4 linked regions of the Diceros bicornis minor genome follow. The protein of the gene in region 1 interacts with the protein of each later gene in a pairwise test. Links are inferred from orthologs where the notes say so. Each region holds a gene or a part of one and is shown in the gene's direction. Other genes may lie near its edges. The genes, in order: NR4A1, CDKN2D, PRDX4 and PGBD1.

Region 1 (7,415 bases):
TCACGCAGTTCTGCATTTGTTTACAACGAGCCTGTTTGATTTTGTAATTTAAAAAATAAGTTACAGAGGATTTCTGTTTGTTTTTAATACAGAGCCTGGTTTGGATTTAGGGGAAATCTTGGCGTTCACTCCAGCTCTGTCACTTCCAGCCTGGTGACCTGGCCACTTTTTCGTGCCGGCCCTGACGGCGTCCCGTGGCAACCGGGGAAGAGCAAATGTGGAGGCACTTCGAAAAAGCACCCAGCCGAGCACCCAGCCGGGCCTCCTCATCCTTGTGTAGTGCAGAGCATGCAACCCCATGCAGGCGGTGTCCCTAGGCCCTGTCTTTGTGCCCCCATTTTTTTTTTTTTTTTTACCCTTTGATTGCTCCTAAATCTGGGGAGCGGTGGGGGACCCCAGCCAGGTATTTCTCCATCCTCAAGATGAGGAAAGGAACCGTGAAGGGAATCCCCTCCACAGCCCCTCTTCTCACTGAGGGCCAGGCCTGGGCAAGGGAGCCCCTTTTGGGCCCAAATGGGCCGGGAAACGGCCTTGCCATTCTTTTAACCCTGGCCCCAGTGGGCCAGGGTGGAGGTAAGGGAAAGGTGTCTCCCTGACTGGGGGTAGTTGGATCAAGGGTTTCTGCTATTGTCAGATGGAGGGCCTTATGGGGAAGACCACTAGGGGTCTGGCTGATTGTCCTGGGTCCTGGGGCTTTCCACCCCCAGAATCTCAACCCTGCTCCCACCCCATACCTATGAGCTTTGGGGTCATTCTTTCTCCTCCATGCGAGGCCCTCCCTTCTCTCTGCCTGGCCTGGTCCTATCTCTCCCTTCACACTGTGCCCCATGTTCTCTTCTTCCAGAGAGGCCTCTCAGATTATCCCTCTAGATTCCACCCCAATACCAGCTCGAGGCCTCTTGGAGGCTGCCTCTTGGACCTCCTTCTGGCAATGTTTTCATAGCTATTCTTGTGTCCTGTCCCCCATCAGACTAGGAACCAGCTTTCTGTGGCAAGGTCTTGTTCTTCTACCTGAGGAATTTCCTAGGATGTGGGACAGCACTGGCCATACTGTCTGTTTCCTCCTCTAGTCCTAGCTCCTCAGCCATGCAAGCAGTTGACCTTCTACTTTTTTCTCCTCTGTTTTCCCATCTGCAATAGGGGCTGTGGCGTAGTTCCTGGAATTTGCGTAGAAAGAGGAGGGGCTAGGCGTGAGGGACAAGACGGTGGGTAGAAACGAGAGCCATGGTCTGGGAGTCAGAAGACCTGGGCTGTGGTCCTGGTTTGGCCACTGACTAGCTGAGTGGTCTGGGTCAAGGAGACAACAAGGGGGCTGAAATTTACTGCACATCCGTAATGACACTAAGAGGTGACATTGCCCTGTGCAGCTCCTCAAGCCCCCAAATAAACACCCTAGCCAGGCAAAGTTGGGTGAGTGCTGTGCATGTACAGCTTCAAGACAAGGTCCCCACCCCTCCTTCCCCCAAGTCCTCCTGCATGGAAATGGCAGGTCTGCTACTCCGTGCCAGACTCCTTGCTGCATTCTTTGTATCTGCTATCAAGATGCACTCTTCAAGATTGGATTGGTGGTTACCAGGGGAGGGAGGAGGGCGAAAGGGATAATTTGGCACATGTGTGTGGTGATGGGTTGTAATTAGTATTTGGGTGGTGAACATGATGTAATCTATGCAGAAATAGAAGTATAATGATGTACACCTGAAATTTATACAATGTTATAAACCAATGTTACTGCAATAAACAAATAAACAAAAAAACCCAAAAAAACAAAACAAAACAAAAAAAAGATGCACTCTTCAGGGCCGGCTTGGTGGTGCAGCGGTTAAGAGTGCGCGCTCCGCTTTGGCGGCCCAGGCGCTTCGGGGTTCAGATCCCGGGTGCTCACAGACACACCGCTTGTCAAGCCATGCTGTGGTGGCGTCCCATATAAAGTAGAGGAAGATGGCCAAGGATGTCAGCCCAGGGCCAGTCTTCCTCTGCAAAAAGAGGAGGATTGGCATTAGATGTTAGCTCAGGGCTGGTCTTCCTCACCAAAAAAAAAGATGCACTCTTCATGACGACTCTGTGAGATGGGTATGTTATCATCCTTGTGTTTCGAATGAAGAAACTGAAGCCCAGAGAAGGTAACTTCCCTGAAGTCACACAGTTGGTAATAGCTGGAACCAGTGTCAATCCAGACCTCTTGAGCCTATCTGTGCTCCTTCTGCCACCTCACACTGCTGTCACGAGCCACACAGGTGTATGTGGTTTAGCATTACATATTTTAATATAGGTTTTACTTGGTTATAAAACAGGAGAGTGTATAAGAAAGCAAGTTGTGCTTAAGTATTTATAGAAAGGAGAGACCTTTGCGGGCTGGAAGACTTCATGGAAAAACTGGTAACTGAGCCTTTTTTTTTATCCTTCCTGTCCAAATAAATGTATTTCTCCTACACAGGCAAATATTTTAAAAATGTATTTCAAAAGTTAGATTTCTGGAAAAAGAAAAAGAGGGGGTAGTGGCTTTTTTAAAGAGCCCATTTGGAAGGAACTCTTGGGGTAGGAAGGAGAAGGGGGTTGGGGGAGGAAGAAGCCAGTCTCATGGCTACCCTCCCTTGCCATTTTTGAAGCCTCAGTTTCTTGGTCTCTTTATTGGCCTAATACTGGAATCTGGGAGAGAAATGTCAAAGTTCTGAGAAGTTGATTTTGAGACAAACCAGAGATTCTTGGGATCATTATAAAGAAGGAGAGAAAGGGGCTTCTGAGTTGCACTAGAAGTTTAGGACAGGTCCAGAAAAGGATTTCTGGGGGCGGGCAGGGGGGTGGGGAGAGGAATGTGGCCCCTGGAATGAGGGCTGAGTAGGGGTGTGGGGCCTCTTTGGGAGAGCTTTGAATGCAGAAGAGATTCTTTGCTGCGTGGGGCCAGGGCCCGTGGGGCCTGGCCTGGGTGCGGGGGATCAGACAGCATGCTCGTCATTTAAGGCGGCTCCAGAAAGGAGCAGGGGCGGATGGCTGGTGCAGCAGAGCACAGGCCTGGGTCCTGCTTAATGGGTATTCCTCAATGGCCTGGCCCGGCACACAATACAGGAGCAGACACTGTCACCCCAGCCCCATTCAGCCAGATCCTGGATCCCAGCCCCACTGCTTCAGCCTTGGCCTGGCTTCCCTGAACTAGCCACTCCTAAGTAGGGCGGCTGTAGGGGGAAAGGACTTGCTCAGGACAAGATAGTGCTCCCTTTTCCAATGAGTGTTCCAGTCAGGTGGGAGACAGAAACCTTCCAAGCACTCCTACCCCGGGAAGGTTTTTCCTGGGGAGGCCTGTGCTTGGAGACTGTGATCAGAAGAGTGTGGGCCACTCATGGGTTCATGGCCACTGTGGTGAGCAGCTGTGGATGGGGAGGTCAGACTCCTAGAGGAGAGCAAGGAGGAGAAAGTAACTAGGAGTGCCTGCTGTGTACACGGCACCTCCACAGCTGTTCAGTCCTCTCGATAACCAGAAAAGGTGGATCAGATTATCATCCTCATTTTATAGGTAAGGACACTGAGCCTCAGAGAGGTGAAGTGACTTGCCCTAGGTCACACAGTAGTATGGGAGCAGCCAGATCAGTGAATCCACCACTGGGGCCTTGCCCCTGTCTGCACACCTGCCTCCAGGAGTGCTTCTCTGCAGGAGAAATTTCACCCTCCCAAGAAGTCCTCTTGTTCTGTCTGAGCTGCCTTCTTGTGTGGAAGCTGGGCACCCTGCTAGCTGGGTTCCTTGCCTTTGGGGTGGCATGCAGGCCAAGCGATGCTGGTGGGGGTGCCCAAGAGGGCCAGAGCCCTGTCCCTCAAGCCACCCTAATTGTTTTGTGACTTTGGGCCGCTGCCGCGCCTCTCTGGGCCTCATTTTTTCCATCTCTCCCTCTGGGGAAGCCCCGGGTAAATTTATTTATAACCCAGACCCAGGTTGGCCGCCTCGGAAGGTGTTAGCAAGGCCGCACAACCCTCACCTGAAAAACAGCTCCCCCGGCCCGGTCGCCGCGGGGCGGCTTATGTAACAGGGCGTGCGGCCCGCGTGTCGGGCTGGGGGGGCCGCGGGGCGGGGCGCTCGCGGCTATTCCGGGCGCTGCTATTTTTAGCCCCATTGATGAGGCTGCGTCGGCCGCCGCCGCCGGGATTCCGGAGACGTCAATGGGCGCGCGTCACGGTCCCCGCCCGCCCGCCCGCCGGGGGAGGCGCGCCCGGGGCTGGGCTGGCGGCGCGGGCGGCCGCGGGCTGCGGGGGCGGGGGGCGCGGCCGCGGCCGGAACTGCGGGGCGGGGGGCTGCCCGGGCGGGGGGCGCGGGCCGCAGCGGCGCGGCTGCAGGAGCCCGAGGCGGCTGCGGCGGCGGAACTGGGGGGCCTCGCGCGCGCCCAGACCCCCGGCCTCCCGGCATGGGCGCCCCCGCCGTGTGGAGCGGCTCCCCGCCGGCTGGCGCGCGACCCCGGAAGGCGGGGGCGGAGAGGCCAGCCGAGCTCGCCCGGCCAGGTGAGGGGGCCGTTTGGGGAGAGGGTGAGGTGGTCCCCGGGAGAGGCCCGGGGAGAGGGGGGCTTCGCGGATGCACTGGGGGGTGGGGGGAACTGGGGGTCCTGCTTGGAACCCGGGGAGCGGGGGCAGGGACTGGATTCCCAGCGGATCCTGCTAGCTCAGAGTCAGCCCCCGAGTGCGGCGGCCAAGCCTTTCTCTCCCCAGCCCGCCAAGGGTGGGGTTTGGCCCGCGAGGGGCGCTGGAGGTGGCTAGGCTAGAGAAATTCCTTCCATTTCCCAGCCAGCTGCGGGGAACGGGTTCCAGGAGTTGGGGAGCTCGGCTGCCAAGACGCCGAGCCCGGAGGGAGCAAAATTGCCCGGGGCAACCCCTTCGTGGGACTGAGAGGAGAAACCGAGCCTGGCGAGGGTCTCATGGAGTCGGGAGCAGACCTGGGCTTAGGAATTCTGCGGAGGCGGCATTTGCGGTGGTTTACAATGAACGTGAATTTGAGTTTGGGGCTGGTATTACCAGCATGCTGGGAAACGAAGGCTGGGCAGAGGTAGGTGGATTCACAACAGTTATGCCCAAAGGGTGCTGATGGATTGTGGGGCGGATAACAGCCTGGGTAGGAGCTCAGGGGTGGCTACAGGCTGGTCCTAGACCCACTCCAATGAATGTTTAGACCAGTGATTTGGATGAAGACTTAAAAGGGAAGCCAGCCGACTCCTTGTAGTGACCTAGAGCTGAGAGGTACGATAAAACCAGGATCCCAAATGATGGCAACTGGGCAGAAGGATGGACCAAGACTAACAAGATGAATGTGATGTCTTATAAATGTCGAAGTCTGTGCTGGAGTTAAAAAATCAGGTCAAGAGTCAGGCCCAGTGCCTGGCTCAAAGGCCCAGGGACCCTGGCCCTGGGGGCTGGGGGCTCCCACCTGCTCTTGGGTGTTGGCTGTCAAATTGCTCTGTGCAGGGGGCCGCCCCGTGGCGTAGCGGTTAAGTGCGTGCGCTCTGCTGCTGGCGGCCGGGGCTCGGATCCCGCGCGCGCAGCGATGCACCGCTTGTCAGGCCATGCTGTCTTGGTGTCCCATATAAAGTAGAGGAAGATGGGCACGGATGTTAGCCCAGGGCCTGTCTTCCTCAGCAAAAAAAAAAAAAAAGAAAAAAAAAAAGAAAAAAAGTTGCTCTGTGCAGTCGGAGGCCTCTACCCACTGAACAGGTCCAATCAGGGAAGAGGGATGCCTGGCCCTGGGCTCCCAGGTGGGGCTCTCTGGGTTCTAATCCCAGCTTTGCCACTTCTTAGCTCTGTGATCTTGGGTGAGTTGCTTAACATTTCTGTGCCTTAGTCTTCTCATTGGTAAAATGTTCATGATAATCTCTTCCTCATAGATCTCTTCCTCATAGTGTATAGATCTCTTCCTCATAGTGTTGTGAGGCAGAAATGAGAAAATGCATGTAAAGTGCTTAGTAATGTATCTAGCACAATGGTGTTGAACAAATATTAGCTGCTGTTGTTATTGTTAATAATAGTAATATGCCTGTTTCTGAGTGGGCACATTGGCCAATGCAGAGCTTATGCCCAGGAGGCCACCGGGGCTGCAGAGGGTCTATCAGCCATGTCCTGTTGCAAGGAGGAGTTTAGTTAAGAAAAGACTTGGGGGGCCGGTTGGTGGCGCAGCGGTTAAGTTCTCGAGCTCCGGTTCAGTGGCCTGGGGTTCGAAAGTTCGGATCTGCCCACACCGACGCACCGCTTGTCAAGCCATGCTGTGGCAGCGTCCCATATAAAGTAGAAGAAGATGGGCATGGATGTTAGCCCAGGGCCGATCTTCCTCAGCAAAAAGAGGAGGACTGGCATTGGATGTTAGCTCAGGGCTGGTCTTCCTCACAAAAGAAAAAGTGAAAAAAATGGATGAAAATAATTAAAAAAAAAAAAAAAAGAAAAGACTCAAATACTTGATAGGAAGAAGGAGAGGGAGTTTTCAGGTGGGCCCGGGCAGAGCTGGGTGCCAGGGCTGGGAGCTCCTGGCGGCAGGGTTGTGACAGAGCATAGGGAAGAACCCTCAGACTTTGGCTCGGCCCTGAAATGGAAGGGACAGCTTCTCAGCTGCAGGGTCCTCTCCACCTCCTGCCAAGTGACTGGCCGACCCTCCTCGAAGCTCTGTTCCCGTGCATGTGTGAGTCTTGCTTTCCTCCATCCCACAACCACCTGCTGAGCCCTACGAGTGCTGAGCTCTCTGTCAGAGACTGAAGACACTGCGGTGACTGAGACAGACAAGTGAGCACATGAACAGCTTTCATCCTGTGGAGATCATAAAAATAGGTTACTCTGCTGGGGTGGGGTGGAGGCTCTCGAAAGAGGTGGAATGGAATGGAAACCTGATTGATGAGGAGGAGCTAGCCATACAGACATCCCAGGCAATGACTTCCTGCAGAGGGAACAGCCAATGCAAAGGTCCTGAGTGGGGAAAGCTAGCCCATGGGGCTGGAGTACAGCGAGGAGGGGGAGCCGGAGCTGGGTGCTGAAGTCTGGCCGGATGCGCCCATCCCATTGGGGGGCCATCACTTTCTCCCCCTCCAGCCCACTCAGCCCTTGGTTTGCCTTCTGCTTTGCACAGTGCTGATTGTGATGGACCTTGATTCATTCCCCTGTCGTAACCTCTAGGGGCCAGGGATCTCGGTTTGCTCCTTCTTGGGTCTCCCACTGTTCGTTGCTCACTGCCTGCTTCCCAGTAGGCTCCCAGTAAATGCTGATGATGACCGTTGAGGAGGTGATTTTGATCTGGGACAGGAGATGGGATCAGATACCTGCTCTGAGATGTTAGGAATCACTTTCTGGGCACCCCCTGAGTCCCCGACTCTGGCCCCTCTTCTCAGACACAGGTGGGGAAGACCTGGGCACTCAGGTTGGGCCTGGCTGTGGTGGGAGGTGTTTGGCCCTCCCTGCCCGTCCTC
Region 2 (7,605 bases), on another chromosome or scaffold:
CTTGGTGGCCTAGTGGTTAAGTTTGGCATGCTCTGTTTAAGCAGCCCGGGTTTGGTTCCTGGGCACAGACACCACTCATCTATCAGTGACCATGCTGTGGTGGCGGCTCACATACAAAAAAAAAAATAGAAGAAGATCAGCAATAGATGTTAGCTCAGGGCGGATCTTCCTCAGCAAAAAAAAAGAAAAAAAGAAAGACGAATCCCAGGAATTGTAGCGTAGCTTAGTGCATCAATTTCTATAGCTGTAGAATATTCTACTGTGGGAATCTTCTACATCTGTCCATTCTCTTGGTGGTTTTCAGTTGCCTGCTACTCTGGTTCACAGCCCCGTGCAGGTTTCTTGGTGCCCCAAGCAAGATTTTCTCCAGAGCTTATAGTGAAACCTTTTTTAAGATGGGGAAACCGAGGTCCAGAGGGATTAAGGTGTCACTCATCTAGGAAGGGGTGGGGCATGTTGAACTCGGGTCTGCCTGGCTCAAGAGTCTGTGCTCTTTGATTTGACTGTTCCCCAGTCTTAGGGTCTCAGGGGAGCTGGGTTGTGGGGTGGATGGCCACCAGCGAGGGTCTGGACACTCCTCAATGTCCCCGTCTCTGCAGGCAGGGAACGGGCAAGGGGCCATTAAAGCTGGTGACTTCCAGAAAGAACGCCCTCTCCCGGTCCTCTGCCCCTGATCCCACCTCTCAAACACCCCTCCCCAAATTACTGAATAACAGCAGTAATCATAATGCTAGCTACCACCCGTGGAACACTTAGAATCCTTGTGTTGAAAGCTGTCCCGTGTCACACAGCTCTAGACACAGAGAGAATGTGGTAACTCATGCATTTATTTGTAAAGTGTGATGGTTGAGGACGCAGGCTCGGTTGGAATCTCTGCTGAGCCAGTTGCCAGCTGTGTGGCTTTGGCAAAGTGCTCTTTGCCTCTGTTTCCTCATCTGTACAATGGGCAGGATAATGGTCCCCACTTCAGGGTCGTGGGGGCTGGCTCTCAAGGAGATGGCGCCTGGAAGGGTTTGGTGAAGATTTGCAGAAGGCAGGAGTGAATTCTTCATGCCCCGCGCTCTCTCCCTCGACAGGCCAAGGGGCAGTTTAAGAAGCAGTCGGTGGCCAACGGCGTGGAGATTTCTGTGCCTGTGCCCAGCGACGCCGACTCCCCGCGCTTCAAGACCAGCGTGGGCAGCGCCAAGTACGTGCCGGAGAAGAACGTCGTTATTTGGAGTATTAAGTCCTTCCCGGTGAGCACTGGGGACGGTGGGGCATCTGGCGGGACTCGTTCCCCCTGCTTGAGGGCAAGGTGGAGAGTAAATTGGAGACCCACATCTGCGTGCACACGGTTATCCTTGGGGGTCACACAGCTGGAAACCAGGCCAGCCTGGTGGTTAAGCTCTCCCCCTCGCAGGTCTCAAGGGAACCAGCCCTGGGTTCTGAGCTAGATGGCCTTGGGAAAGGCCTTCCCTTCCTGGAGCCTCAGTTTGCCCATCTGTGAAATAGGCAGGACCATGTTACCCACATCCTTGGGCTGCTGGAGGATTTGCTCCGTCCCTTGGATCTGCGAGGGGCTTCATCAGGGTCTGACAAATGGGATATAGTCACTAGAAGCCCCCTCTGCCCCCCGACCAAGCTTTGCAGTCAGAAGCTTTGGCTGTGAGTCTCGGCCAGGAGCCTTTACTTTCTTGTCTGTGAAATGCGCTGAGGGCAGAGCCTGCCCTGGGGGCTGATGGTTGGGGGCAAGTAGGCACCCCTTGACGTGTCTGATGCCCCCATGTGCCCGCAGGGGGGCAAGGAGTACCTGATGCGTGCCCACTTCGGCCTCCCCAGTGTGGAGAAGGAGGAGGAGGAGGGCCGGCCCCCCATCGGGGTCAGGTTTGAGATCCCCTATTTCACCGTCTCTGGGATCCAGGTGAGGGAAGCGGGCAGGGTTGCTCCTGTTTTTCGCTTCAGTGGGTGTCCCTCTCTGCCAGCTCTTGGCTTGGGTCCCCTCAGTTCCTTGGCCTGGGTCTCCTCTCCCCCCACCTCTCACTTTGGCCTGTGCCACCTCGTCCCCCCAAAACCGCAGTGTCTATTCCTGTACCCTGTGCCATCTCTTTCCTGCCATCCTGGATCACCTTCCTCCACACTCCCACTGCCCGTGCCACATCTTTGCCCCAAGCCATGTCACCTCATTACTCCCAGCCTGTGTTATCTTCACCTCCCAAGGGGGTAGATATTTTTCCTTTGGCCCCAGCCAGCTGTCCCTCGAGCCTGGCCATGTCCTTTCATTCCCTTCCAGGTCCGATACATGAAGATCATCGAGAAAAGCGGTTACCAGGCCCTGCCCTGGGTCCGCTATATCACCCAGAGCGGCGGTAAGGCAGCTGGCTCCCCGGCTCCAGGAGACAGTCTTGGGGTTTTGATACAATCTAGCTTGGAGGGCTCCAAAACTCATCAGGCCTGGCCCCAGGCCTTCCCTGTCTTTGTCACCGTGCCACTCTGGGCCTCGGTTTGCCAATCTTTAAAATGGGGGCAGCTGCCAGCTCTGGGTGGTGGGGTTTGGAGGAGGCTGAACACAGCACCCCCATCTGTTGCCTGGAAACAGGCTTGTTGCTATGGTTACTGTTGCTGTGTCTGACCTCATCCTTGTTACATACTGGAGGGGTTGATCAAGAGCCCTGGGGCCAGGGAGGGATGGGGGGCCTGCCCCTCTGTCTCCTTTCCCCAGTTCTGAGACAGTCCCTGCTCACTGTTTCCCTGCAGATTATCAGCTTCGTACCAGCTAGGAGGGAGAAGAGGCGGGGGCTTGAGCATACGCCTCCCTGTCCCCACGCACCGACTACAGACTTGAGAGATGGGGAGGGAAGATGGGCGTGTGTCTGTGTGAGGGCAGGCCCCTGGCTCAGCACTTTCTCGCTCCCAGCATCTGTCTGCCTTTTCTTCTACCCATAGGCTGGAGGGATGGTGTCCCTCCCGTGTCCCCAGCCCCATCCCTCCCGCCCCCGGGCTTCCCCCATCCTCCAATTTTATATGAAGAAATAGAAGAGGGACTTGAAGCCCCCCTCATGAGTGCCTTCTCGAAGTGACCTGCCTTAGGGGGTGTTGTGGGCCCCTCCTCTTTCACAGCTGCTGAGCCCAGAGGCCCCGCTGGCCCACTCCTCTGAGTTTTAGTGTGGTATTAAAAAGATGAATCTAGCCGCTGCGCATGTCTTCTTGGCTGGGGGCCGGGGATGCCAGGGACGCCCCTTAAGTGCTGGGATGGGAGTGGGCAACATATCCATTCCTCAGCCCTGGGCATCGCTCATCTGGGCCAGCGAAGTTGCCACCACCTCGGTCCCCAGGCTCCCGCCTCCCCTCCCCCACAGTCAGTTCCCCTCAGAGCCGCCAGGGGGCGCCTGCGAACTTCTAAGTCAGATCCTGGCTCCTCGGCTCAGAAACCTCCCACGGTTCCCATCTTGTTAAAAGTAAAAGTCGGGTCCTCACCGCAGCCCACAAGCCTGAGCTGCACTCCTCCTCCCCACCACCTGCCCTCAGCTCCTCCCTCTCTCTCCCTCGCTCTTCCTGGACACACCAGGCACGGGCCCACCTCAGGGCCCTTGCATCTGCATTGCCCTCCACCTGGCATGCTTTTCCCCAGATATCCACACGGCGCCTTTTCTCACCTTCAGGCCTCAAATCAAATGTCACCTCCTCCGGGTGGCCCTCCCTGACCTATTTCAGCGGCTTCCTTTCCCCAGAGACTATCACTTACCCTGTTTTATCAGCTCCAGAGTATTTACCACTCTGAAAAGATTTAATTGTCTTCTCCCGCCCTAAACGATAGGCATCCTGCGGCAGGAGCCCCCCTTCCCCCCGACCCGGCTCGCTCTCCAGTTGGGCGCCTAGAACACAGTAGGTGCTCAATAAATGCTCGAATGAAGGCCTCCCACCGCGACTCTCGCCACCCAGGCTCGCCCACGTGGCAGCCGCAGCGTGAGCCTCCCTCCCTCTTGCATTTGCTGTGCCAGGGCTGGCTCAGTCTGGGCCAGAACGTGATTCCTCCTTCGCTCACCACACTTCCCTTTTTATTTTCTTCGCGCTGCTTAACGCCATCTAAACCCGCGTAGTCCCTGGAACGTGCGCTCCCCACGCCCGGAACGGTTCCTGCGCGCAGTGAATGAATGAAATTAAACGCTCCGCGCATAGTAACGGCGAATAAATGTCATCGCGTGACTCAGTGCTGGAACCCGGGACCGGGCGGCCCCAGCCCTGCCTCCCTTCCCCCCGGAGGTGCCGAGGTCCCGGCGCAGCTCGCGCTCCTCTGCCCCTGACCTTTCTCCCCTGGGTCAGTTAAACCGGCCTTCTTTCCCGCCCGCCCGGCGAGTTTGAAAACCGAAAACCCCGCCATTGCCGGCGGTCCACCGGTCGCCGCGGCTCGGCCAATCAGGAGCGGCGCCGCCCACGCCGGAACGCGAAACCTCCCCGGCGACGCGTCGCCATTGGCTACGCCGGCCGCGTGGGCGGTGCGCCGCAGGGCCCTGCGCAGGGCAACGCGGCTGGGGCTACAGTGTAGCGAGTTCGTAAGAAAACAAATCGGCGGCGCTCGGGGGCGGGGCCTGGGCGCGCTGGCTCCGCCCCCTGGCGGCCAGCTCGGCGGCGGCGGCGGCGCCGGCTCAGAACAGACCCCGCCCGTCGAGGAGGAGGGAGGGTGAGTTGGGGGGAGACCCGGCCCCCAAGGGGCGGGCGCCGGGCCGGGCCCTGCGGGCGGCGGAGGGTTGGGCCCCGCTCCCAGCCCCTCGCGACCCGCTGGCTGACAGTGGGAGGAGCTGGCCGGGAGGGCGGGGGTCGCGCCGGAGCCCCCGAGTGGCGAGCCGGGCCGGGAGCCGCGCGCAGGCCGGGAGGGCTGTGGGGGCCACGCCGCCGGGCTCCCCCGCACTGATCGCGCCGCGGTGGGGCGGGGGGCTTCGCAGGCCGCCCGCGTCGACATGCTGCTGGAGGAGGTCCGCGCCGGCGACCGGCTGAGCGGGGCCGCGGCTCGAGGCGACGTGCAGGAGGTGCGCCGCCTTCTGCACCGGGAGCTGGTGCACCCCGACGCCCTCAACCGCTTCGGCAAGACGGCGCTGCAGGTGAGGCCCGGCCGGCCCCGAGCCAGGGCAGGGGGGAGCGGGGCGAGGACTGGGACCCCGGCCCCCTTCCCTCCCGTCTCCTGGCCCCGGCGGGGGCCGACTGGGGTCCGAGCCTCCATTCTCGGGCCGACGTTGCTCCTTGGAGTCCCCTTTCGTAGGTGGATGGTGGATGAGCTTGGTGGGGGAGGGGAGGGCTTCCCATCTTCCCTGGAGGACTCCTTGTTTTCTTAGTGCGGAGGATTCAGTTTCCCTGGAGAAGTGCTTATTCCGTGGATAAGGGTTCGGTTTCTTTGGATCTCGGTTTCATGGGGACGGCTCTGGTTTCTTGGGGCTTCTATGGGGGCATCTGATCCCTGGAAGGAGGAATTTATGTCTCCAGGGCGTCCCCATTTTCTGGGGGTTTCTCTTAGACGTATCCAGTTTTCTGGGGCGGATCTCCATTCCTGTTGTCTCCCCCCCCCCAGATTCATGGTATATTATAGGGGGTCCTAATGGGGGAACAGTTGCAGATTGCATGAAAATTCTTATCCCCTGGGGGACATTTTACAGGCGAACCCCATTTTTTGAGGGGGCCAGGTACCCGGGATCATCCCCATTATATGGGGCGGGGCTGTTTCTTGGAGAAAGAGTGTCAAATTCCCTGGGCATCTCCTTTCCTTTGAGAGGGCTGTCAAATTCTTTGGGGACAATTTCTCATTCTAGGAGGCCTATTTCCTGGTGATTTCCCATATCTAGAGGAGGGGGGGCTCTGGTTCCTTGGGGAGGGTCTTAGATTCCTTGAAAGTTTCCATGGGGCTATTCCCTAGGCGGGTGTCTTATTCTTAGGGGCGTGACCAGTTTCTTGGAGTCCCTGTTCCCTGGAGGCCTTGTTCTCTGGCCTCCTTGTTCTCAAACAGCTGCCCCGGGGGCTTGTGTTCCCTGGGGTTTCTTCGTTCCCTAGAGGATCTCTTCTCTGGCGTTCCCTTCTCTGAATGACCCCTCTCTCCAGGGACCCCTTTTCCTGGAACCCCTCCCTTGAGGACCCCGCCCCTCTGCCCCGCACAGGTCATGATGTTCGGCAGCCCCACGATTGCCCTGGAGCTCCTGAAGCAAGGTGCCAGCCCCAACATCCAAGACGCTTCCGGCACCACTCCGGCTCACGACGCAGCGCGCACTGGATTCCTGGACACGCTGAGAGTCTTGGTAGAACATGGCGCTGATGTCAACGCACCCGATGGCACCGGGGCGCTCCCCATCCATCTGGCGGTCCGGGAGGGCCACGCGGCTGTGGTCAGCTTCCTGGCTGCTGAGTCTGATCTCCATCACAGGGACGCCAGGGGGCTCACACCCTTGGAGCTGGCTCGGGGGAGAGGGGCTCAGGATCTCATGGACATACTGCAGGGGCCCACGGTGGCACCGCTGTGACCCGGCGCCACCCACCCCAGCGTCAGGACCGGCTGGGTTCCATGTCAGAAGAGGAGGAAAGAAACACTTTCTCCCCCAGCTCCTCCTGACCGCTGCCGAGGGGGAGGGGCCCCAGTTTGTGGCTTGTTGGTGTTGATTTCTAGAGTGTGTGTGTTTGAGGGGCATTTCTCATTTCTTTTTCTCACCCCTTTTGGTGTATTGAGTAGAGAAGGGCTCCTGCAGGCAGCAACCACTTAAACGGTTCAGTTTCCTCCACGCCCCAGGCTGCTGGGGCTGCAGATGAGGCCCAAGGGCACAGCATTTAAAGCCCCAGCCCGAGTGAGGTCATCGCGTCCAGGGCTCCTGGAACCTGGCGACCTTGGCCGGCTGTACCCAGAGAGAGACCTCGAATGTACACACTGCTTTCGGGCATGGCGGGAGGGGGGAGTATTCCAAATCAATAAAAGGGTAGTATGAGTTCATTCATATTCTGTTGGAAGCTTGTTTTCCAGTCTCTTGTACAGCGTTAAAAAGAAAAAAAGATTCTATTTATTAAGCTTTATGGAAAAAATTGTTGTGTGTGATAATTTAATGTTTTTACCCATTAAATTAAGACTTGTGCGTGACCACAGCGCCGGTGGCTTGTGATTTTTGAGTCTGCAGCGGGGAGTCGAGCGTCCGCGATGTTGGCGGGGTAGGCCCGGGGGTCGCGGGTCTCGGATGATTTGGGGGAGGGGAGAGAGTGGTAATTCCCAGGGCGCCAGGGTGAGTGAGCTGGGTGGGGCAGCGGTTTGCGCTGTCGGAACGGAAAGGAGGCAGGAAACCGCGAGTGGAGAAAGGGCCCCCAGATGTCAGCTGGGTGCCTGGAGCCGTGGGGGTGGGGGTGGGCGGTGGCCGCAGCCTTCCCCGCAGAGGTGTGACCCGTGGGCGGGGACTGCGGGCACAGGGCGTAAGGGATCCCGGAAGGGCCGGGGGCAGGGTTAGGCACTGCCAGCTAGGCCCCGCCCTCTTTAAAGTTCGCGGTGGGCGGGGCCTGGGCAGCCCCGCCTCCTCCAGGGCAGCTCGCCGCACGCGTGCGCAGTGGGCCGCAGAGCCGCCATGCCGGAGCCGCGCGGGTCGTCGGCGCTGCGGGTGAACGCGGCTTTCG
Region 3 (6,874 bases), on another chromosome or scaffold:
ATAGTTACCATATAGCCCAGCAGTTCTAGTCTTAAATATACACCCAAGAGAATTGAAAACATATGTTCACATAAAAACTTGAGCACAAAGCATAACCCTGTGACTATACTAACAACCACTGAATTATACATTTTAAAATGATAAATTATATGTTTTGTGATTTATCTACTCATAATAGTCTAAAAGTATAAACAACCTGAATATCCATCAATTTATGAATGGGTAAACAAAATTTGTATATCCATACAACAGAATATTATTCAGTCATAAAAAAGAATGAAGTACCAATACATGCTACAACATGGAAGAACCTTGAAACCATTAAACTTTAAATGAAAGAAGCCAGACCCAAAAGGACAAATATTGGATTTGGACAATAAGGATTGGACAAATAAGGATTCTACTAATATGAGGCACCTAGACTAGTCAAATTCAGAGACAGAAAGTAGAATGGTGGTTTCCAGGGGCTGGAGGGAGGGGAGAATGAGGAGTTATTGTTTAATGGGTACAGTTTCAGTTTGGGAAGATGAAAAATTCTGGAGAAGGATAGCGGTGATGAGTGCACAATAGTGTGAATGTACTCAATGCCACTGGACTATACACTTAAAAATGGTTAAAATGGTAAGTATTGTTATGTATATTTTACCCCAATAAAAAAGGAATGGGGGCCGGCCCAGTAGCATAGTGGTTAAGTTCGTGTGCTCTGCTTCGGTGGCCCAGAGTTCGCAGGTTTGGATCCCGGGTGCAGACCTACACACTGCTCATCAAGCCATGCTGTGGCAGCATCCCATATACAAAATAGAGGGAGATGGGCACGGATGTTAGCTCCGGGCCAATCTTCCTCACCAACAAAAAAAAGAAAGAAAGGAATGAAGTACCAATACATGCAACAACACAGATGAACTTTAAAAACATTATACTTAAGGGGCCAGCCCGGTGGTGCAGCAGTTAAGTGCACACACTCAGCTTTGGCGGCCCAGCGTTCACAGGTTCGGATCCCGGACGCGGACAGGTGTACCGCTTGCCAAGCCATGCTGTGGCGGCATCCCATATAAAGTAGAGGAAGATGGGCATGGATGTTAGCCCAGGGCCAATCTTCATCAGCAAAAAAGAGGAGGATTGGCATCGGATGTTAGCTCAGGGCTGATCTTCCCCACCAAAAAAAAAAAATTATACTTAAGTGAAAGAAGCCAGACACAAAAGGACATATATTATATGATTTTATTTATATGAAACATCCAGAACAGGCAAATCTATAGAGAGTGAGTAGATTAGTCATTGCCAGGGGCTAGGAGAAAGGGAGGAATTAACTGCTAACAGGCACGAGGTTTCTTTTTGGGGGTGATGGAAATGTTCTAGAATTAGATAGCAGTGAGCACAAAGCACAATCCTGCGACTATACTAACAACCACTGAATTATACATTTTAAAATGATAAATTATATGTTTTGTGAATTTTATCTAAAAAAAAATTTGGACAAAAAGTCTTCCCTCAGAATGAGTACTCTAAATGCAAGACAGGAGGAAACTACCCTTTTTGTGACCTAGCATCAGAAGTCACAAAGCATTCTTCCTGTCATATGCGTTAGAAGCGAGCCCCTAAGTCTGGCCCACATTCTAAGTTAGGTTTTACACTTATATCATGAAACGCATATCATTTCAGTTTCACGACATGGGGAAGGTGTTAATGTCTCCCATCTACAGATGAAACTCAGGCTCAGAGAGGTTAAATTAATTTCCTAAGGCCGCGAGTCCAATAGGTGGCAGAGCTCAGACCGGAACATAGAAACAGCTGACTCTGTAACCTGTGCTCTTAAACCTCCATCAGTGCTGGGTCTTAACCAGACACGCCATTTGTGAAACCATAGACGCGTGGGACTCCCTCCCACCAAGGACCTCTTAAATCATCGTGTCTGGGGCTTGGTCCATACACTTGAATGTTTTTAAGCTCCTCAGGTGTTTCTGAGGTGCATCCTATGTACAGAATCACTCCTCTCTGCCTGGTGGTTTTGTATTATTTATATGGGCAGCTGACTCCAGCTGGATGGTCAGTGCACTGGGGACAGGACCCCCACCTCCAGCTCCCTTGTGACTGCCACTGTGACAGCACAATGTGTGCCTGCAGGAGGCAAGCGCTCAGGAAATATCATTGGCTAGGAGGATTCAGAGCAACTGACACCCAGAATGCCAGCTGCCAAGGGGTTCCAGTGGAACTGAGGGGCACACAGTTTGTGCCTGGGGGTTGGCCTACCTGGCCACTCTCTCCAGTGGGCAGGAGGTTCACTGGGGCCCACTTGGTGGGCAGCCCCTGCTGCCAACTGGGGCACCTCAGCTCTGCCCAGAGCAGAGGTGTCGGGAAATAACACTCTCCCCGAGCTTCTCCTCCCAGTTCCCAAACTTACAGGCCCACCTTAGGGCCTAGAATTCACTGAGGCTCCGTGGTTCTTTGTCCAACAGTCAACATGGATCACAGAAGCCGACCTCGGGGCATAGGCCTAAGCCGGAACCCTGGGACTCAGTCCCGAGCCCCCCGGGCCCCACTCCCCCTCTACGTGGAACAGGAAGCCAGGGAAGGAGAAGAATGGGAGCAGCGAGAGCCACCTCGTCAAAGGACTCCCATCTATGGGCTTCCCGAAAGTGAAGAGTTGCCAGACAATGTTATGGGTAAGGACATGCTCTCCTCTGCCCCGGCAAAAGGCAGGTGGCTTCATATTTTTCCTCCTTTGCCCACAGGAAACTGAGGTTAGGAAACAGAAAACAAAACTTATAACGGGCAGGACTGGGGTGAGGGCTGAATTTGGCAAGGGCAGGTTTCCTATTTGCCTCAAAGGGTTGTCACAAGGAGTAAGGAAATAATATGTGAAAGCAACTTGAAACTAAGACAGGCTGTCAGGAACATTAGCTGTTCTTTACAAAATCAGGCACTTACAATAGTAAATGCTCACCGTGTGCCAGGTGCCTTGGGAAACAAAAATGAATTCCACATGGATATTGACCCCAGGGAGCTGACAGTCTAATAGAGAAAAGACGAACTGTTAGGAAGGCTTCCGCGGGATTCAGAAAGATGACAAGAGCTCACAGGAAGATAGAAGGGATCTTGGGGGGCATAAAGGCTGCCGATGGCGCCTGTCTTTCTGGTGTGTGTTGTGTCTCTCTCCCCAGTTCTCACCCGCCATCCTAGCAAATGGGTGAGTGATGGGGAGAAGATGGAACAACACTGTGCTGGGATAAAGTCTGGTTTCCTAGGAACTTTTCAAGTCTTGATTAAAAAGAAAATAGACACCTTTGAAATAGACTTAAGTCACCAAACTGCCTGTTTGTCCTTGCCTACTGGAGGAGAGTAAACGGTTAGACCTTTCTTCTCCGAGTGTTCCCAGAACTTAAAAGGGCTGCAACTAGATGGGGGAGTCGCGGCACTGTTCACACAGATCACTTAACGGAAAAAAAGGAGTAACTGTTAGAAGTATAAAATGCAAGCTGTTCAAAGGCAGCTAGGTTAGTTTCACTTGAGGGGAGGAGGGGGGCGGGTGGCGTGAGGTGGTGAGGCGGTGAGGCTTTGTAGAAGCGATGGGCGTGGAAGGATGTCTAAAACAGTGCACAGGGCGGGAGCGCGTGAGGCCAGTCACGGCGGAGGCCACCCGGCGGCCTCCGCAGACTTGGGCTAAGTCCCAGGGCGCAGGCGCAAACGCTGGCTGAGCGCGAACAGGCGGGGCAGGCGCCCACGTGGCGAGGCAGGAGAGCAGCGGGGGGCGGGGGAGCGGGGAGGCTGGGGACGAGGTGGGGGGGCAGGAGGGCGGGGGGAGTGGGGGGCGGAGCAGGTCTCGCGAGGCCGCGCCCCGGCTCACGCGGGCGTCGAGCGCGCGGTTGTAGCTGCCTGGCGGCGGGAGAAGTCGCGCTCGCGCCAAGAGACGTGTGTCTGCGCTCGCGTGGTCATGGAGGCGCCGCCGCTGCTGCCGGCCGCGTGGACTCTGGCTCCTGGCCGGAGCCGAAGGCTGCTGCTGCTGCCGCTGCTGCTGTTCCTGCTGCCGGCTGGGGCGCAGCGGGGCTGGGAGGCGGAGGAGAGGCCCCGAACCCGCGAAGAGGAGTGCCACTTCTACGCGGGTGGACAAGTATACCCCGGGGAGGCGTCCCGGGTTTCGGTCGCTGATCACTCCCTGCACCTCAGCAAAGCCAAGAGTAGGTGGTGCCCCGCCAAGGCGGGGGGTGACCGGTGGCAGAGGGAGGCTGCTGGTGGGGAGGGCCTGGTGACACGTGTACCCTGGTTACGGTGGCTACCCGAGGGCCTCGCTGGGGCGGCACCCGGGCTGCCTCAGGTCCCTGAGCGGTCCTGGCTCTCTCCTGGGTGTTGGGGAGATCGAGGGGGGTTCCAGCTGTAAAGAAAGAAATGGTTTCCACTAATCAGATTTTGAAAGAAGTAGTGGTTACCCCGAAAGCCACAGATAAGGGAAAGAGGGTGGCCCTCGTCCCAGGCTTGAAAGCATAGGAGGATGTTGTGCAAATCCAAACACTTCCTCAAACATTGCAGAGTGCCTGCAGCACATCACGTCCGTTTTCAAGTACTGTTTCAGGGAAGAATGCATTGATAAGTTGAATAATGATTCATAGAAATTTGATTAAACAGAAAAGTGGTTAAACAAAATGCCGAGGAAGGCAAATGCTTCATTTTTCTTTCTTTTTTCTCTTTCTTTTTTTTTTTTTTTTCCATCTTGTAAAGATTTTAAAAGCTCTCCCCAAAAATCTGTATAGGTAGTTAATGGGTATTCTTTGTATTTCTCAGAAATGAAGAACTTGTTACAGGGTGTATTTTGGAGGCTCTTTGTAGGGAAACCGGGAAAAAGGAGGTTGGAAGTAATGCATTTGAGTTGATGATAAACCTGGTGGCAAATTTGTGTCTTGGCAGTTTGGTTTTTGATTATTTGCATTCTGTCCAGTGTACACAGCTAATGGCCACTTTCAGGAAGGACACGTCAGATTAAGTAGATAGTGAGAAAGTTATGGCCTGCTGCATCTGGGTGTTAAGATTAGCCAAAAAGAAGTGGCCAGGGAGGGGCTCAAGGATAGCGACTGTCCTTTGCTTGCTTTTAAGTAACCTGCTTTTCCTGTGGATCATTTGGCATTCTGTAGATGTGCATTTGGCTTTTGTGGTTCAGTTACAGCATGTTATGTGCCCATATTCAGCAAAAAAAGTAATGCTTCACTATTAGGACTCCCCAGTGTTGAATGGGATGTTGTTATGACTTAGGTTGGATTGGGAGGGATAAGTGAGCAAAACTGTTTTGCCTCCTTACACATTTGCTGTTCTTTCCTACTGAAAGTTAACTACTTTTGGACTTTTGTTTTTAAAAAGCCAGTCTTGCACTTTTAAAATCATAGTATTTCCAAGTCCTGTTGGTTTTACTTGCCTGGGAAGATATTTTGAAATATGTTAGCCAATTAAATGTTTACTGGCATTACGTATATTTCCCATAAGAAACAAATCCCATCCAAGTCTGCTCATGGAAGCAAAAAGTAGGAATTATAGATCTCCCTTTACCAGCAAGCCTTTTCAAATTTTAGATATTTGCTACATTTCTGTGTCACATGTAGGCTTATGTAGAATTAAAGATAGGAGCACTTTTATTGGTAAAATGGAATATTATGGAGCCATTAAGTCCATACTTTCAAATAATTTTAGTAACGTGAAAAACTGCTAATGATTTACTGTTTCCTTTTTAAAAAGGGTGCAAAGGATCAAAATTTGTGTGTTTGAGGGCCAGCCCTGTGGCTTGGTGGTTAAGTGCGCGCGCTGCGATGCTGGTGGCCCCGGTTCGGATCCCGGTTGCGCATCGAGGCACCACTTCTCTGTCCATCCTGGGGCTGAGTCCCACATACAGCAACTAGAAGGATGTGCAGCTGTGACATACAACTATCTACTGGGGCTTTGGGGGGAAAAAAATGAAATAAATAAAATCTTTAAAAAAAAAAAAAAAAAAAAAAAAAAATTTGTGTGTTTGAAAAAGACTGGAAGACGTCAAAATGTTAACAGTGGTTAAACTGATGGGGGTTATGGAGAGAAGAGATTTAAACATTCTTTATACTGCTCTGCATTTGCCAGAATCTTGGTTAATTATATGATTTATATTCAGGACAATTTTTGTTTTTTGATAGATGCAAGGGATTGCTTTGGGTATTCCACTTATAGATCTTAGCAAAGTAACTACATTCTTTTTGCTCTATAAATTAATGACAGTTTTTTTTCTTTGAACTAACACTGCAATTCTTAAATCAAAACCCCAAATTTCCAAAATCAATTTATTTTTCAGATTTGTTTTTCTCAATATGCTAAAATCATTAAGGAGTATCATTGTAACAGATCATTACAATTATAACCTCACACTTGAGTAGCATTTTAAATAACATATGTAAAGCATATACAGTTGAGTACCCTTCTGCTATCTAATTCGCCCTCCTGGCCTTTACTTAATCAGATCAGAATATTTATATGAGGTAGGCTGCTGGCCCAAGATAAGTAATCACATGTTATATATTAACTTCACAGAGAAATTCATCTTAAGTTTGTCTCTGGTTTCAGAGTGACCAAAAATGCTGTCTGTTATTCAAAATACAATAAGTACTAGCAATTATAACCCTTACTTTCTAGGAACCTTAGTCAAACTTGGAAGCAAGTATTGACTTCAATGTATGTAATGGTTCTGAAAGTTTAAGTGCTATCTGAATGTGTTAACAGAAGATCAAGGTACATTATTATCAAAGCGTGTTGGCTAGAATTACACCATGCCCTCACAAGAGAGTGCAGGAACTATTCACTTTCCATCAGGTCACTTGAAACCTGTTCAAGGGGGTCTCCTATTTCAAAGGCCTCTAGGAAAATAATC
Region 4 (7,361 bases), on another chromosome or scaffold:
GACTCTGGCCTCTGCCTCTCTGCTCCACCATCCTAGTGTGTGCCATCGGTCCTTAAGGTCATCGTATGATCCTTGATGGCTGCTGAAGCTCCAGACCTCACATGCAAAATGTGGACAGAAGGCAGAAGGACAAAAAGAGGCTCCTTCCAGCTCAGTCAGCGCCCTTTGAGCAGCCTTCCCATAAATTACTTTAGCACATATGTCATAGGCCAAAACTTAGGAAAGGGAGGCTGGAAAGTGTGTCTGGGTTGCAGAGGGCCCAACTGAAAATTAGGCTTCTGTCACTAAGAATAAAGAGGAGAGGGGCCGGCCCCATGGCTTAGTGGTTAAGTGCGCGCACTCTGCTACTGGCGGCCCGGCCTCGGATCCGGGCACGCACCCACGCACTGCTTCTCCGGCCATGCTGAGGCAGCGTCCCACATACAGCAACTAGAAGGATGTGCAACTATGACATACAACTATCTACTGGGGCTTTGGGGAAAAAAAGGAGGAGGATTGGCAATAGATGTTAGCTCAGAGCCGGTCTTCCTCAGCAAAAAGAGGAGGATTAGCATGGATGTTAGCTCAGGGCTGATCTTCCTCACAAAAAAAAAAAAAAAGAAAGAAAGAATAAGGGGAGAATGAATGTTGGAATAGGCACTTAGCAGTCTGACAAACTTCCTGTTCCTTCCACTCTGATCTGACTGGGTACAAGCTGACCAGAAGCCACAGTTAATACTGTTTCCTGGAGGATGACCAAATGTGTAGGAGAAACAACTGTAACTTTTTGAGACACTAAAGAACTTCGTGGAAAAGTCAGTCACGTTCCATTGCTTAGGAAGCCATAAAGCTACGTATCTTTTATTCTGTCTTTATGAGTAAAATTAAGTTGATATCAGGGATTTTCAAGTATTTTGAGGGCTGTGCTGAGGTCAGTACCTAAACATTTAGCTCCTCATCATAGTTTAAATCTATTTGATTCTGTTCAGTTTGAGAAGGAAAGAACATAGAATATCTTTATTATTCTCCTTAAAAAGCAATGACAAGGAAAAGATTTAAAGGATGAAGAATTGTATACCCTTAAATATCTGGAAAATTTGTCTTGCCTTTCTTTCTTCAAGATGATTCTATAGTACGGGTATTATAAGCATTCTGAATTCATTCACACCTTAAACAACCTAATTCTTCCTTAGGTTCCAAAGGAAATGGTGTTTTCATCAGTACCTTGGGGGCAGACCCAGAACCACCTGGGCATAAATGTTGCATAGAGATATATTTAAAAATATGTTTTTCAGTGCATGCACTCCGCTGCTGGTGGCCCGGGTTCGAATCCCAAGCGCACATCCATGCACCGCTTGTTAGGCCATGCTGTGGCGGCGTACCACATAAAGTGAAGGAAGATCAGGCATGGATGTTAGCTCAGGGCTGATCTTCCTTACAAAAAAAAACAACAAAAACGTTTTTCTTATTTATTCTTGACAGTTACAGAAACATTAAACAAAGGGCAAATGTTATAACATCTCGATTAGGTTTTTGCTTGCAGTGTGACACATCCTAGATACCTTAAAAGGAAGTTAAAAATCTATGCAGAGGGCAGGAACCCAGGAAGGATGAACTATATTGCACCAGTGTCTTCTACTGCTCAGCCATTTCTGTTTGGGTAGTAGCTGCAGTGTCCAAATATAGAGTGGAATTGGCAGTCTCTGTTTGTCCCCATTTCCTGCTCACTCTCCTGTTTAAAATCTGATAAAGTTATTATATAGCTTGCCACTATAAAAGTAGTATGGAAAAATAGGAAAGGAGAAAAAAATCACCCTAATTTCCATCTGTCAAAAATAATCACTCTTTAGTATGTGTGTGTGTGTGTGTGTATTCTAACTTAATTATGATCAGTCAGTATTAATAATTTTTTCTGCTCAATTTTTAACATAATTGTCCATTGTAATATCTTCATAAAATTCTTATTAAATTAACTCATATTTATCAGAAAGTTCATATACATTGTAAAAACATTGTAAAGAAGAAAACAAATCATCCTGTCTCATGGTCCACAGATATTCTCTTAATGTATGTTTTGAGATGCTGATCTTTTTTATACATAGAAACACTTTTATCACTGGACTTTAATTATATCATGAACAGTTTTCATTTGTAGTGGACAGAACAATCAATTTACCTACCTGCCCACTCCATTCTAGTCCAAATCTCCCATAATCCTGAGTGGGCAGCCAGCCATTGGATCCTTCTCTGACCACAGAGGATTGAACCAGGAGGAGGCATCTAAGCCAGGCTTGGTCATTTAGATACACCTAGGAATTTGACGTGGGATCACAGATTCTGGTTGGTCTCTGTTAGGCATTTGAACCAGAAAGTAATAGAGAACCGGAACCATTTTTGTGATCACATAAAAACCAAATAGAGACAAACTCCATTGTCTCGTTGGGCTGGCAGCAAGAAGCAAAAGAATGAAGCCAACTCCTGAAGCCAGGATCCCATGAAGGCTAGAGAGACTCAGGAGAAGCAGCCTCGGCCCTCAACTTCTGCAGTCCATCTATACACTGGTCTTGGGAGTCATGGAATGCCCTTGTTTCCTTCTAATAAAGGTTTCTTTTAAGTTAATTTGACTTGTTTCTGAACCTTGCCAACAAATAAAGAAATCCCTGATTTAGACACCCAGATCGTTAGAGGTCTTCATGGAAGATAATTTTCAATATAAGTTCACAATTATCTATGGTATATGTCCCCATCGTTAGTCATTTAGGTTATCTACAGTTCTGTCACCATAAACAATATTTCAGTGAACATCCTTGTACATACAACTTTGCTTACTTGTAGAATTATTTTGCTTCCTTTAGTTGCTGTAACTAGAATCGATGAAACAAATGATAGACATATTTTCTTAGGTTTTTTGATGCATTGGCCAGATTGTCCTTCAGAAAGGTTCAGAAAGGTGTACATCCTGTTAGCAGTCTGTGAAAATGCCCATTTTTCCACACCCATCAACCCTGGGAATTACTCTTTTGAATATTTGACAATCTGGTGCATACAAAATGGGTCTACTTTTTAAAGAGTTTTTTAAAAAATATTTTTACTATTAAAGTTGAACATCTTTTCATATATTAATTGGTGATTTATAATTCTGATTTTGTGAACAGCCATGTTCACCTTTGCTGAATTTTTCTATTAGATTCTCCTTTTCCTCTTAAACAGCAGTGCCATTAAAAATTAAATAGGAGAGCTGTATATCAAAATTTTAAATGCACATGCCCTTTAACAAATCAATTCCAATGTGTAGTATTTACCCTAGAAATGTACTCATAAAAGTATGTAAAGATATTCAATGGTGTTCTCTGCAGCATTACTTATAAAGAAAAAATAAAACAAGAGGGATAATTAAGTAAATTATGGTACAACTATACAATGGAATACTATTTAGCTGTTAAAAAATAAGCTTGTATGGAAAGCTCTCTAAGCTATCTTAACCGAAAAAGCTAAGGTGCGAAATTATATTGTGATCTCATAAGTGTTTTAACATATATAGATACATACTTAGCCACTAAACAAATGTTTATTGAGTGCTACTGTGTGGCTGGTAGTGTCCTGGGATGATATACACAAAATATTAACAATGGTTAACTCGGGGAAGTGGGACGCTTTTCATGTTATAGTCTTCACTCAATGTGAGTTTTTATTGTTCATATATAATCTGTATATTTAAATTTTAAAAATTAATTTGTGCTGCTTGCTGTATTATAATTATTTATTCAACTGTGTCCCCCAGCAGCTTGTGAGGACCCTAAAGACAGAGACTCAGTTTTGCCTTTACCATCTTGGTGGTTTTTAACTGAAATGGTTTCATAAATGATGGGCATGCTTGGGTCGTCCGGACCGCCCTGGGGTCGAGCGGCTGAGAGACGCCTGGGCTGGGCGGGGTGGCCGCGGGGGTCTGCCGGGCGCACCAGAGAGACGTGCGGCCGCGTTCCTAGAGAGGCACGGAGCCGGCCGGACGCCGCGACTCCGCTGCCCGCGCGGCTGCAGAAGAAATTCGCGCCCCTACGCCCGTCCCACCACCGGTGCCGGCTGCGGGGAGCAGGGCGAGACCCGCCCGCCCCGCGAGGGGCTGCGGCCCGGGCTCTGCGGAGGCCGGGGGCGGGCTCCTCCCGACTGTGGAGACCAGGGCCCCCGCGCTCCCGTGGGAGCCTTTCACGAGGTCGGCCACGTCTTTGTTGTACACGTTCCTTGAACTTCTGGTCCATTACCCAGCAATTAGACACGCACTTATTGAGTGCCCACTGTATGCCAGACGCTAGGTGCGCGGTGCATTCTCAGTAAGGTACGTTCTGGGCTCGCCAGAGCGTCTTGGCTACCGGCATCTCATGTACATCTACGTGCATTCATCCAGAAGTCCACCAGTATCTGTTGACTACCAGGTACGTGCCGGGCTCCCTGAGGTTATGCAAATAAACTCCTGTCCTCAAGGAGCAGGGGCGGCGGTGGTGACTGGGGGTGTGGTCTGTGATAGAGACGGAGAGGGAGGGCGGTGGATGAGGCAGGTGTGAGCTCACTTTTCCATGGGAACGCCCCACCTCCACCTGAGTGGCTTAGAGGACAGAAGAGTTTTCTCTGTCTATACATTAGGTTTGGGTTTGGGAATTTACCCTGTTACGAGGGCGATCCTGGCCGTAAAGTACAAGGTGGGTGGAAAAAATTTGAGTAGTTGATATGGCGGTGACATGAAGCATTTGGGACAACTATGGCTTTCTTGGAGGTAGGAACTGTGTCTTTTATTCCTGGGTTAGTGTTATGCCTGGCAAGTAATGATGTGCTCAATAAATGTTATTGAGTGACAAACAAACCAGTAAAACTCAGTAAGGATCAGATCCTGGGGAGTTTGAATTTAGTTCAGTGAGAAGCAATTGAAACCTGCTTTTGGAGAGGGATGGGGTGTTGAATATGGTCCGAATTGTGCTTTAGGAAATATCAATCCAATGATGACAGAGCGTGTGGTGGGGCAGGAATACCATAGAGAAAATTATTGTAATAGTGAATGTAAATGGTAATAAGGGAATAAAAAGGAAGGAATGGCTGCAACACGCATTTTGGAGGAAGAATTGACTAGGCTCAGAGTGATTATGTGTAGGGGCTGGTTTTCAGCCTGAATGTATGGAAGATGGTGGTGATGCCAATGGAAATGAACAATCCAGAGAGAGTGCAGCTTTGAGGGGCCTCTGAATTCAGTTTGGGATGTGTTGAAATTATGGTGCAGGAGAGGCCCGAAGCTGGAGGCATCCTGCTGGCATTTCAAGACGTGAGTCTGGAATGTGAAAAGCAAGTTGGAGCCAGACAGAAATTTGAGTGTGCTTGGAATAGAGGTATATTGAAATTACGATTGATGAGATCACAAAAGTAGAAAGTGAGGAGAGAGAGGGAAAAGAACTTAGAGTATGTTTACCGTTTCAGTTATCTAAAATAAAACCCCAAATGTAGTGGCTTGAAACAACCTCAGCTTGTTATTTCTCATGATTCTGTGGGTTGACTGGGCAGTGCTAGAGTTACTTATGAGGCTGCATTCAGCTGTTGAATCAGCTGTAGACTAGGCCCAGTGGGGCTTTAGCTGGGGTACCCTGGTTCTCATCCACATGACTTCTCTGCATGGCTAGCTTGGGCTTCCTCACAGCATGGCAGTCTCATGGCAGTGTGCCAAGAGGTACAAGAGCACTTCCTCTTACAGTGTCATTTCTGCCATATTCTATTGGTCAGAGCAGGTCATAGGCCAGCACAGATTCAAGGGAGGGAAAAATAGACTCCACCTCTTGATGAGAAGAGTGACAAAATCTCATCACAAAAGGTTTTAGGGGATGGGAGACTTTGGAAACAGTCTACCTCACCTACATTTAAGGTAGAATATTCCATAAGAAATACACAGAGATAGATGACCTTTCACAGTATATTGATCTGTCCATGAAGGCAGCCATCTGGCTCACCCATGGGTAAAATTATCTCTTCTCTCCAGCTAAAGTGTAAGCTGCTCAAGCACTCTTATTGTTAACCCTTCTTTCCTCATATCCCATACCTTACATCTCTTACTTCTGGGCTCAACCTCCTTAGGTTCAAGTGTTCATTATACTTCTGATTAATTTCACTGATAATATAGGCAAGCAGTCTCAGTTTTTGAGCATGACTTACAGATGGGACAAAAATATAAGTATGTTACTTAGAGTTTGAAGCTCTTGTAATTTTCAAGTTACTGATCAATTTTTAGGTCTCAGATGTACATTTGGAAAAGCATTTCTGAAGCATAGACTCCGGCTAAGTGAACCTTTTCCTAGCCTTTAAGCTCAACATGGATGAAGCTTTGTCAGGCCTCACTCCTGAAAATGGAGACAGCTTTGTGAGAATGAAGGAGGAAGATCCCACATGGGAGCAGATGAGCAGCTCACAGGAGAGCAGCTCCCACATTCGGGAGCTTTGTCGCCTGCGCTTCCGGCAGTTCTGCTACCAGGAGGTAGCCGGGCCCCGGGAGGCTCTGGCCCAACTTCGGGGACTCTGCCATCAGTGGCTCAGACCAGAGACACACACCAAGGAGCAGATTCTGGAGGTGCTGGTGCTGGAGCAATTCCTGAACATCCTGCCCGGGGAGCTCCAGGCCTGTGTGCAGGCGTATCCTCTGGAGAGTGGAGAGGAGGTGGTGATAGCGCTGGAGAATCTAGAGACAGACACAAGAGACACAGGACAGCAGGTGGGAAGAGAATGTGTGTGGTGTGGGAGAAGAAATGGGGAACATTTGTCTGTTAATTTTTAACTTTTTATTTTGAAATGATTTATAATTTACAGAAGTATTGGGAGAATAGCACAGAGAACTCCTGTATACTCTTTACCCAGATTCACCAATTGTTAACAGTTGTTTCATGATGTGCCCCACTCTTGTGTGAGTGAGCACTCCCCGTCTCTTTCTCTCTTTCTATGTGTGCATACATATATGCACATGCACACACACACACCTTTTTTTTCTTGAACTGTTTGGGGGTTAGTGCAGATATCATGCTCCTTTACCTCTAAACACTTCTGTGTGTATTCCTGAAGAACAAGGACATTCCTTTGTGTAACCAGAATACAGTTATCAAGTTTGGGGAAATTAAAATTGTTATGATACTATCATCCAAAAAGTAATCCTTGTTCAAATTTTGCCGTATTACCCCAATAGTGTTCTTTATGGCAATTTTCCCCCAATTCATGATCCAATCCAGCATCACATGTTGCATTTAGTTGCTGTGTTTCTTAGGCTCCTTGAATGTGGAACAGTTGCTCAGTCTTTCTTTGTCTGTCGTGACATTGATATTTTTGAAGAGTACAGGCCAGTTGTTATATAGAATGCCCCTCAA

Evidence for each region.
Region 2: the proteins of NR4A1 (region 1) and CDKN2D interact in binary tests that used the Homo sapiens proteins (3 or more experiments, as listed by UniProt). The two-hybrid records come from large-scale screens. The link is inferred for Diceros bicornis minor from reciprocal best matches to the Homo sapiens genes NR4A1 and CDKN2D.
Region 3: the proteins of NR4A1 (region 1) and PRDX4 interact in a two-hybrid assay, tested with the Homo sapiens proteins (2 studies listed by BioGRID and IntAct). The link is inferred for Diceros bicornis minor from reciprocal best matches to the Homo sapiens genes NR4A1 and PRDX4.
Region 4: the proteins of NR4A1 (region 1) and PGBD1 interact in binary tests that used the Homo sapiens proteins (3 or more experiments, as listed by UniProt). The two-hybrid records come from large-scale screens. The link is inferred for Diceros bicornis minor from reciprocal best matches to the Homo sapiens genes NR4A1 and PGBD1.

The regions. Positions count from the first base shown.
Region 1 is NC_080756.1:18,053,487-18,060,901, reverse strand, and holds the start of NR4A1 (nuclear receptor subfamily 4 group A member 1), read left to right. Parts: upstream 1-4,404; 5' UTR 4,405-4,482; intron 4,483-4,712; exon of another isoform or gene 4,713-5,020; intron 5,021-7,415. UniProt on the Homo sapiens protein: Orphan nuclear receptor. Binds the NGFI-B response element (NBRE) 5'-AAAGGTCA-3'. Binds 9-cis-retinoic acid outside of its ligand-binding (NR LBD) domain.
Region 2 is NC_080769.1:8,697,916-8,705,520, forward strand, and holds CDKN2D (cyclin-dependent kinase 4 inhibitor D), read left to right. Parts: upstream 1-4,737; 5' UTR 4,738-4,934; coding exon 4,935-5,075; intron 5,076-6,119; coding exon 6,120-6,479; 3' UTR 6,480-7,089; downstream 7,090-7,605. Other genes in the region: AP1M2 (AP-1 complex subunit mu-2), read left to right, coding at 1,077-1,235, 1,775-1,900, 2,270-2,345, 2,734-2,756; protein KRI1 homolog, read left to right, coding at 7,557-7,605. UniProt on the Homo sapiens protein: Interacts strongly with CDK4 and CDK6 and inhibits them.
Region 3 is NC_080781.1:19,904,835-19,911,708, forward strand, and holds the start of PRDX4 (peroxiredoxin-4), read left to right. Parts: upstream 1-3,868; 5' UTR 3,869-3,931; coding exon 3,932-4,175; intron 4,176-6,874. UniProt on the Homo sapiens protein: Thiol-specific peroxidase that catalyzes the reduction of hydrogen peroxide and organic hydroperoxides to water and alcohols, respectively.
Region 4 is NC_080753.1:38,618,463-38,625,823, reverse strand, and holds the start of PGBD1 (piggyBac transposable element-derived protein 1), read left to right. Parts: upstream 1-4,346; 5' UTR 4,347-4,355; coding exon of another isoform or gene 4,356-4,409; intron 4,410-6,241; 5' UTR 6,242-6,322; coding exon 6,323-6,718; intron 6,719-7,361.